Mus musculus: one gene and its partner. The protein of the gene in region 2 interacts with the protein of the main gene of each other region in a biochemical or structural test. Links are inferred from orthologs where the notes say so. Each region holds a gene or a part of one and is shown on either strand. Other genes may lie near its edges. The genes, in order: Nbr1 and Gabarap.

Region 1 (3,810 bases), about 32 Mb from region 2:
TTTTCTGGAGACTTAGTGTTCATTCTGTAACCCAGGCTATTCTTGACCTCCTTACCTAAAATTGGAAATTCCGTCTATTTGTACTCCCCAAGGCAGAGCCCTTGTCTGTGTTAATCCACCTTGCTGGATTACGCTACAGATGCTCAACTATCCAAGCACTGAAATAGGCAGTGAAAAATCTTAGAGACCTAAAACATGTGAAGGGGGTTTTTGTTGATGTGGATAAAATTTAAACTCGTTCAACAGCCGTTTACCCTCCCCACAGCCCACCTCTTTAATCCTAAAGATAGGATCTCATTGTTTCCTAGGCTGACCTAGAACTCTTGGACTTCCATTACCATCCTGCATCAACTTCTGAGTAACTGGGACTACAGGTGTGTGCCCAACTTGGCTTTTCTCTCTAACATAGAAGTTCTATATAAGTGGTAGCTATAACATAAGTGCAGATCTTTATAGCAGTATCTTGAGCATTAGTGTCTTTATTTTTGAGAAGGAAAAATCCTGTGTAACAGTGAGATTTGTAGAAAACACATTACTAGATAGTAATGTCATCATGGGGACATTGTCTGTCTTATTCACTATGATCTTCCAAGTCTAACTTATATATCAGAGCTGAAGCCTCCGGGTGGGTTTTTAATCCCTTCCTCTTCCTTTCATCTACCTGTCCTCTCAGCTCCAGCCAGACAGCATGGAACCACAGGTTACTCTAAATGTGACTTTTAAAAATGAAACTCAAAGCTTTCTGGTTTCGGATCCAGAAAATACAACCTGGGCTGATGTTGAAGCTATGGTAAGTACCGCTTTGTTCTGTTTCTCAGTGGGTTATACACAGATATTTTTCAAAATGTAGCTATTTTGAGCAGTTTATTTTATCCATTTCTGGACCTTTTGGAAAATCATTTTTTACAGGGATTTGGTATTAGTAGAGAATATGTACAAGGAAAAAGGAAGAAACAATTATGTTCCTTTAAACATCTTTAAAATTACATATATTAATTTTTTTGAGAGAGAGCAAAAATCTGGGACAATTTTGGGAGTTGGTTCTCTCTTGTATGAGGTAAAATGATATTTTCAGTGAATTAGGGTTTAGAGACATTCTGGGGATAAGTTAGGCTGTCCTTCCCTGCAGCCAGGCCGTAGTGGGTGTTGTCTGACTGGAGAGCAGGCGCACTGCTGTGTTTGTTACCTGACGAGGATGGGATTTGTGTTTTGCAAGACCGGTCAGTTGCTTTATCGCTGGGTCAAAGGTTGGATGTCTCAGAGCTGGCAGAAAGCAGCGCAGCTCCCATGGGTGCCCATGCAGCAGCTCCTCTGCTCCGTGCTTTGGTTTAGTGTCTTTCATCTTGCTTTGCCCTTTGTACTCTTCTGGTTTGTGGGTTGCCATGGTCAATGTTTTCCTACTTGGGCATCTGTGTTTAATGTAACCATTTTTGGTTACAAATATTTCTTTACCTGGTTTATCTATGTGGGTAACTTCAGCAGGAAGGACATTTTAGAAAGGGGCCTTCCAGTGTGTTACAGTCGTTCCCTGTCTTCCAGCAGTTTCTCTCCATCCTGCCCTAGGCAGGTGGCTATTGAGGAAGCAGTGGGGTCCTGTTAAATGATCTGAGCACCAGATTTCTTTCTTTCTCTAGCAGCTGTTGGGTGAGTTGGCAGCTTGCCCTTTTTTTTTTTTTTTTATTGGAACTTGTTTTGTTTTGTTTTGTTTTGTTTCGCTTGAGTAGCCCTGGCTGTCCTGGAACTCACTCTGTAGACCAGGCTGGCCTAGAACTCAGAAATCCACCTGCCTCTGCCTCCCAAGTGCTGAGATTAAAGGTGTGCATCACCTTGCCTGGCTGGAATTTTTTTTTTTTCTTTTTTTAAGATTTATTTTATGTATGTGAGTACACTGTCGCTGTCTTCAGACACACCAGAAGAGGGCATCAGATTTCATTGAAAATGATTGTTAGCCACCATGTGGTTGCTGGGAATTGAACTCAGGACCTCTGGAAGAGCAGTCAGTGCTCTTAACCACTGAGCCATCTCTCCAGCCCGGAAATTTTTAAATTATATCCTACATGTGCAGTTCACGTCTTCTTTAAATAGCCAGAGAAAACAGCCCGAGGAACTTCCCACATTTCCATGTTCATGCGGTTATCTGGTAGGGTCATACAGTCTTCTACATCTTGCTTTTCTTGCCCAACAGTATATTGTAGCTGTGGTTCCTCGTCAGTAGACACAGCAATCTTAGTCTTTTACAGCTGAGTCCACGGTGTTCTTAGTATTGCTGGACGATGTGGATAGGACCATTACTTACTGATTTCCCCACCAAGGTTTTCTTTCTTTTCCCATTATAAAATAGACAGGACCTACATCTCAGTATGAGTAACTTATGTGTGGTTCTATAGAGTAGAGTCTATCCAAAGGTTGTGTGTGTGTGTGTGTGTGTGTGTGTGTGTGTGTGTGTGTGTGTGTGAGAGAGAGACAGATAGGGACTGGAGAGATGGCCCAGTGATTAAGAACACTGGCAGCTCTTCCAGAGGACCCTGTTGGATTTCCAGCACCCAGGTGGCAGCTCACCGCTCGCTATCTGTAACTGCAGTCTCAGAACGTCAGCCATCCTCCTCTTTCCTTTGCAGGCAGCGCACTCATGTGATGCACAGGCATATGTGAAGGCAAACACTCAGATGCATCAAATGAAAAGCATTTTCATAGATAGTGCCAAGTGGTCCACAGAATAATTATAACAATGCACAGAAAAAATGACTCAATGCCTAGAAGGGTGTTCTGTTTTTTATTTTGTGGGGCCGGAGGTCAAATGTTGGACCTTCTACATGCTGGACAAACATTCTGCCACTAAGTTTTGTTCCTTGCCCTGAACCTTTGACAACACTGAATATTACAACTTCAAAAAATATTCATGACCAGGCGTGGTGCTGCACACCTCTAGTCCCAGTATTTAGGAGACAGAGGCAGGCTCTGTCTTAGACTCTGTGAGTCTAAGGCCAGCCTGATCTACAAAGTGAATTCCAAGTCAGCCAGAGCTGTTGAACAGAGAAACAGCCATGTCTCAAAAAAAAAAAAAATGTTCACATCTTAATAATGTGTCAGATGTGTCTCTGTTTACACTGTTTGGCTAGAGGTAAGGTTGAATATGTTTATATATTTATTAGGCATTCCTATTTCCTCTTCTGTATATTTTGTGCACATTTTTACTTGTATTACTCTGTAAGGTTTTTGTTCGTTTTTGTAAGTCTCTCTGGCTGTTCTGAAACTTACTCTGTAGTCCAGGCTGGCCTCACACACACACACAGACATCCACCTGCCTCAGCCTGCTGCATGCTGGGGATAAAAGCTTAAGGATGTGCACAGCTGCACTGGACACTGGATTATTCCTCCTGCTATCGGTTTTCATGAGTGTGTGTGTGTGTGTGTGTGTGTGTGTGTGTGTGTGTGTGTTTTACAAGTTTTACCCCTTTATCTGTTAACTCTTACAGATGTTTTCTCTTAGTCTGTTTTAAGTTATTTTTAAAAACTATATTAAGGTGTTATGTACGTTGGTGAAGGGCTCAGTTAGCATTTCCAAAGCTCTGCATTGAATCCCCAGCATCACAGAAAAAAATGAACATAAGGGGCTAGGGAGAGGGCTCCTTGGGTTAAGCCCTTGCCACACAGGTGTGAGCACCAGTGTTTGGATTCCCAGCACCCATACAAATGTAAGTGTGTGTTATGGCCTGTCCATAGAGGGCATCCTGGGAGCAAATTGGCTGGCTAGCCAGATTGGGGAGCTCTTGGTTCAAGAGGTTTTGCCTCAATATGTAAGTTGGAGAT
Region 2 (4,308 bases):
CCTCAAGAACCACTTTAAGCATTGCCTGGTAATTTCAGATGCAGGAAAGGGCCGAAAGGTAAAGGCTACCAAGGCAACTTAAGAACCGGACTCAAAATAGATTTGAAGATACAGATCATCTGTAAGCAACAGTAGGCACTAAACGTGGTCCCTAGTACAGAAGGAATAAAAGAAAAGCAATCATTCCTATTTTATCTCTCTCCTATAGGAAAGGCTGACTTGGACTGGGTGGTAGTGGTGCACACCTTCAATCCCAATGCTCTGGAGGCAGAGGCAGGCAGAACTCTGTGAGTTAGAAACCAGCCTGGTCTACAGAGTGAGCTCCAGAACAGCCAGGGCTACACAGAAAGACTATGTCTCAAAAAACAAAACAAAACAAAACAAAACAAAACAAACAAAAACAAAAACAAAAACAAGCTGGGCTTGGAAGCGCAAGCCTTTAATCCCAGCACTTGGGAGGCAGAGGCAGGTGGATTTCTGAGTTCGAGGCCAGCCTGGTCTACAAAGTGAGTTCCAGGACAGCCAGGGCTTTACAGAGAAACCCTGTCTCTGAAAAAAAAAAAAAAAAAAAGAAAGAAAGAAAGAAAGAAAGAAAGAAAGAAAGAAAGAAAGAAAGAAAGAAAGAAAGAAAAAGGCTGACCTCACTGCCCGGTGTGGTGGCACACGCCTTTAATCCCAGCACTCGGGAGGCAGAGGCAGACGGATTTCTGAGTTCAAGGCCAGCCTGGTCTACAAAGTGAGTTCTAGGACAGCCAGGGCTATACAAAGAAACCCTGTCTCAAAAAAACAAAAAACAAACAAAAAAAAAAGAGGCTGACCTCAAACTCACTATACTATGTAGTCAACAACTTCCAACTTGATACTGCTGCCTCGGCCTCTACCTTCCTCTGCTTCCACAGTGCTGGGACTGAAGCTGTGCATGATCATGCCCCACGTTCAGTGGTTTTGAGGGTTTTTAATTTGGGGATTTTTATTTTTGATTGTTTTATTTTTATTTTTATTTATTTATTTATTATTTTTTTTTTTGAGACAGGGTCTCACTACTAAGTATCTCTGACTAATCAGGATAGACTCAAACTCAAAAGAGACCCACCAGCCTCTGACTCCTGGATGATCGGATTAAAACTGTGTGCAGAAACAGCTGTGCTTTGGATTTAAAGGATCAAAGGTATGTGTCACCATTCAGGATGAGGACTTATAACAACTCTAACACCAGCACTCAAGAGGCATAAGCAGGAAGCTCTCTGAGTCTGAGGTCAGCCTGGTCTGTGTGTCAAGTTTAGGGCAGTGGTGGCGCACACCTTTTGTTAAGCCCAGCCCTAGGGAGGCAGAAACAAGTGGGTCTCTGGGAGTTTAGAGGCCAACCTGGTCTACAGAGGGGATTCCAGGACAGCCAGGATTATACAGAGAAGCCCTGTCTCCTAAAGAAAACGAACAGAAAGTAACAACAACAACCACCACTCCTCAAACGCAATCTATTCTTTGACATCTGGGACTCTTGGAGAGACTCACTTAGGTAGTAAGTCCCAGTCAGAACAACTCCACCAGTTCATACTCCTCCCTATTCTCAGCGCTAGTAAGATCCCACGGCAGGGCTGTACTGACATTTTAAAGTTAGCCAGCAGCGACCGCTGGCCTTTACTTTCCTCTCCAAACACTACCGTTCCTTCCAAGGTACTGTACCTGGTACAGCTGACCCATCGTGGCACTGGTGGGTGGAATGACATTGTTGACAAAGAAAAACAAGGCATCTTCAGCACGGAGATGAATTCGCTTCCGGATCAAGAAGTAGAATTGACCAACTGCCAAAAACAGGAGATGCAAGCAAGTCACAGAGGTCGTAGGCGCCTCCAGAGAACAGCTGCCAGGTGAAGCCTCCTCCCACAGAGTTGGCAGGCCCACCCACAGAAAGAAACGTGCACCACAGGTCAAGCCCTCACCTGTAAGATCAGAAGGCACCAGGTATTTCTTTTTGTCCAGGTCTCCTATCCGAGCTTTGGGGGCTTTTTCCACTATCACCTGATAAAAGGTAAGAATGAGAAAAATGAATATATATATATATATATATACATACATACACATATATATGCTGCTATATCGATGAAGAACTCAACATACAATATTCCCTTTTACTGAAACCTACTGGAATCTCATTTCTCTAGTTATCCTTATATACGTGGTGCACACAGCATTAGGTCCAAAGCTCCTGGCCTCACTCTTACCTAAATATTGAGAACTGATCCTAGAACGGCGCATCACAATAACTATTTTCACCAGAGAATACAGGATGACTTGTTTGGGTCAAAAATCTACATTAAATCTAGCTAGTTGGGAGGATGGCCATGGAAACTCTGGGTTGTCAAGCTCACTAAGGCCTCTATTCTGAGAAATACCCTGATCTCTCTCTCCCGTCCACATCTTAGTCCCCAGCTCTACTTCAGGTGAGAGACCTCTGGTACCAGAGACAACAGAGTTCTAACCCCACGACAGACAGAGCCTGACTTCAGCTTTCCCAGACTCAAGCATAGCCTGTGGCGACAGCGTCAGCGACGCTAGCCTGGGCCCTGGCTACTGTCCTTACCGGGACCCGGTCTGGGTATTTCTTTCGGATTTTCTCGCCCTCAGAGCGGCGCTTCTCGAACGGATGCTCCTCTTTGTACACGAACTTCATTCTCCCGAGAACCGGGCTGGACCGAGCTGGGCTGAGGGAACCCAGGGGGGGGGCCGGGACAGGGGGCGGCGGCGGAGGCGGCTTCGACGAACAGACTTGGCGGAGCGATCCACGAATTTGCGCCACTTCCCTATTCATCAACCCCGCCCCCGACCATCGGACCGGCCCCGCCTGCTAACATACGCCACTAGCTCAGCTTGCTAGCGCAACCCGTAGCCTGGTCCTCTTACGCCTTCAGCGTAACTGCTTTGGAATCAACTTGTGGGTTACACATATGACATCGCAGATAAGGTTGCTGTTGTTTCGAGTGAACTGAAAAACCCTTTCCCACAGTACAAAGTTGAGGACGAAACTGGTACCCAGTGGCAGTCATGAGATTTAGTTCTGCAGTTCTCGGAAATTACGTTGGGGAAAGGCAGACAATTACAAGTCTAGGATTTCATGAGACGTGTTTCTACGCTGAAGGTGGCCGTTGACACCAAAACAAAGTAGTACCCAAGCTGTGGATATGGACACCATAAGACAGAAAGGAAAGAGGTTTGCAGACACCCAGGGAATGCTCAAGGCTCAGGCTTATGTGAACCAAGAGAAACTGCAAAAGCCCCAAAGATAAGGACTACACCAGAGCGGAGGAACACATTTCTGAGTGTAGATAAAATCATGTGACCTCAGAAAAGGGCGGAGAATCACGTGGCGGGTGGCGAAAAGTAGTCCCGGCTCTGGAGAGGAGGTGCCAGGAAAGAGGGTTCCGCCCCAGGTTACTGCTGGAGTGCCAACACCTCGTAGGCAGCGCCCTCTTAGCCTGTCCACGTCAACTTCCCAGACAAGCCCAGCCTTTCTCCAGCTGTATGCCCTTCCAGGGTTCTAGAGTTTTCCCTCTTTAGCCTTCTATATCCTACTTTAAAGTTGTTGGTCCACTGTCCATCAGGGACTCCATCCAGTCAGTGGGGCCTTTCCTGCCGAACACTGAACATAAACTACTTTATCCCTGTGCTAAATCCCACTTCCCCCCAACTCCAAACAGCATCTTCTCCCTCTGCTTCAAGGACAGAGCAGATGTCAACAAAGTTCCCTCCATTTCCAAAAACATCAGAGAAGGGTCTAGGGCAGCTTTGGTTTCAAAGTTATAATGCATGGTTTAAAAGAGGAAAGAAGAAAGGAGCCGATTACAGGTATGGGGGATTGGGGAAAGAAAAAAAATGAGGAAAAGTAAGGGGGGGACAAGTCTGAGGAGGATCCAGTGGCCCGAAACCCCAGTCCCCACCCACAGCCCAGCCCTTGGAGCAGGAGTGAAGAATTAGATCAGTTTTGTATAAGAGTTTTTAAAAAAATCAAATCACAACAAAGTTGAATTGGCTTCTTTTGAGCCTCTGGGATATGTCTGTCACTCTGGCCAGTCCTGCCTCTTCACCAGACTGTTTCGGCTCCTCTAGGCCTTCGCCTGTCCCAGTCTGGCATTTCCACGGAGTGTGAACCCAGAGTGAGGCTGCTTCACGGTCTGGCCCATGTGTCCATCCAGACTCCATAAGTGGAGTGTAGGGCTCCCAGGGCAGAGGGGTGGGAGGGGCAGACTCTGCCCAGGCAGTCCTCACATTGGACAGGGCAACAGACGGTGTCCCAAGAACTCTCCCTCCCTT

What was found.
Region 1: the proteins of Gabarap (region 2) and Nbr1 form a complex in vitro, tested with the Homo sapiens proteins (3 studies listed by BioGRID and IntAct). The link is inferred for Mus musculus from reciprocal best matches to the Homo sapiens genes GABARAP and NBR1.

What each region holds. Positions count from the first base shown.
Region 1 is NC_000077.6:101,555,502-101,559,311, forward strand, and holds part of Nbr1 (next to BRCA1 gene 1 protein), read left to right. Parts: intron 1-308; 5' UTR 309-374; intron 375-673; 5' UTR 674-688; coding exon 689-790; intron 791-3,810. UniProt on the Homo sapiens protein: Ubiquitin-binding autophagy adapter that participates in different processes including host defense or intracellular homeostasis.
Region 2 is NC_000077.6:69,990,076-69,994,383, reverse strand, and holds the start of Gabarap (gamma-aminobutyric acid receptor-associated protein), read right to left. Parts: upstream 3,015-4,308; 5' UTR 2,672-3,014; coding exon 2,582-2,671; intron 2,020-2,581; coding exon 1,941-2,019; intron 1,803-1,940; coding exon 1,684-1,802; intron 1-1,683. UniProt on the Homo sapiens protein: Ubiquitin-like modifier that plays a role in intracellular transport of GABA(A) receptors and its interaction with the cytoskeleton.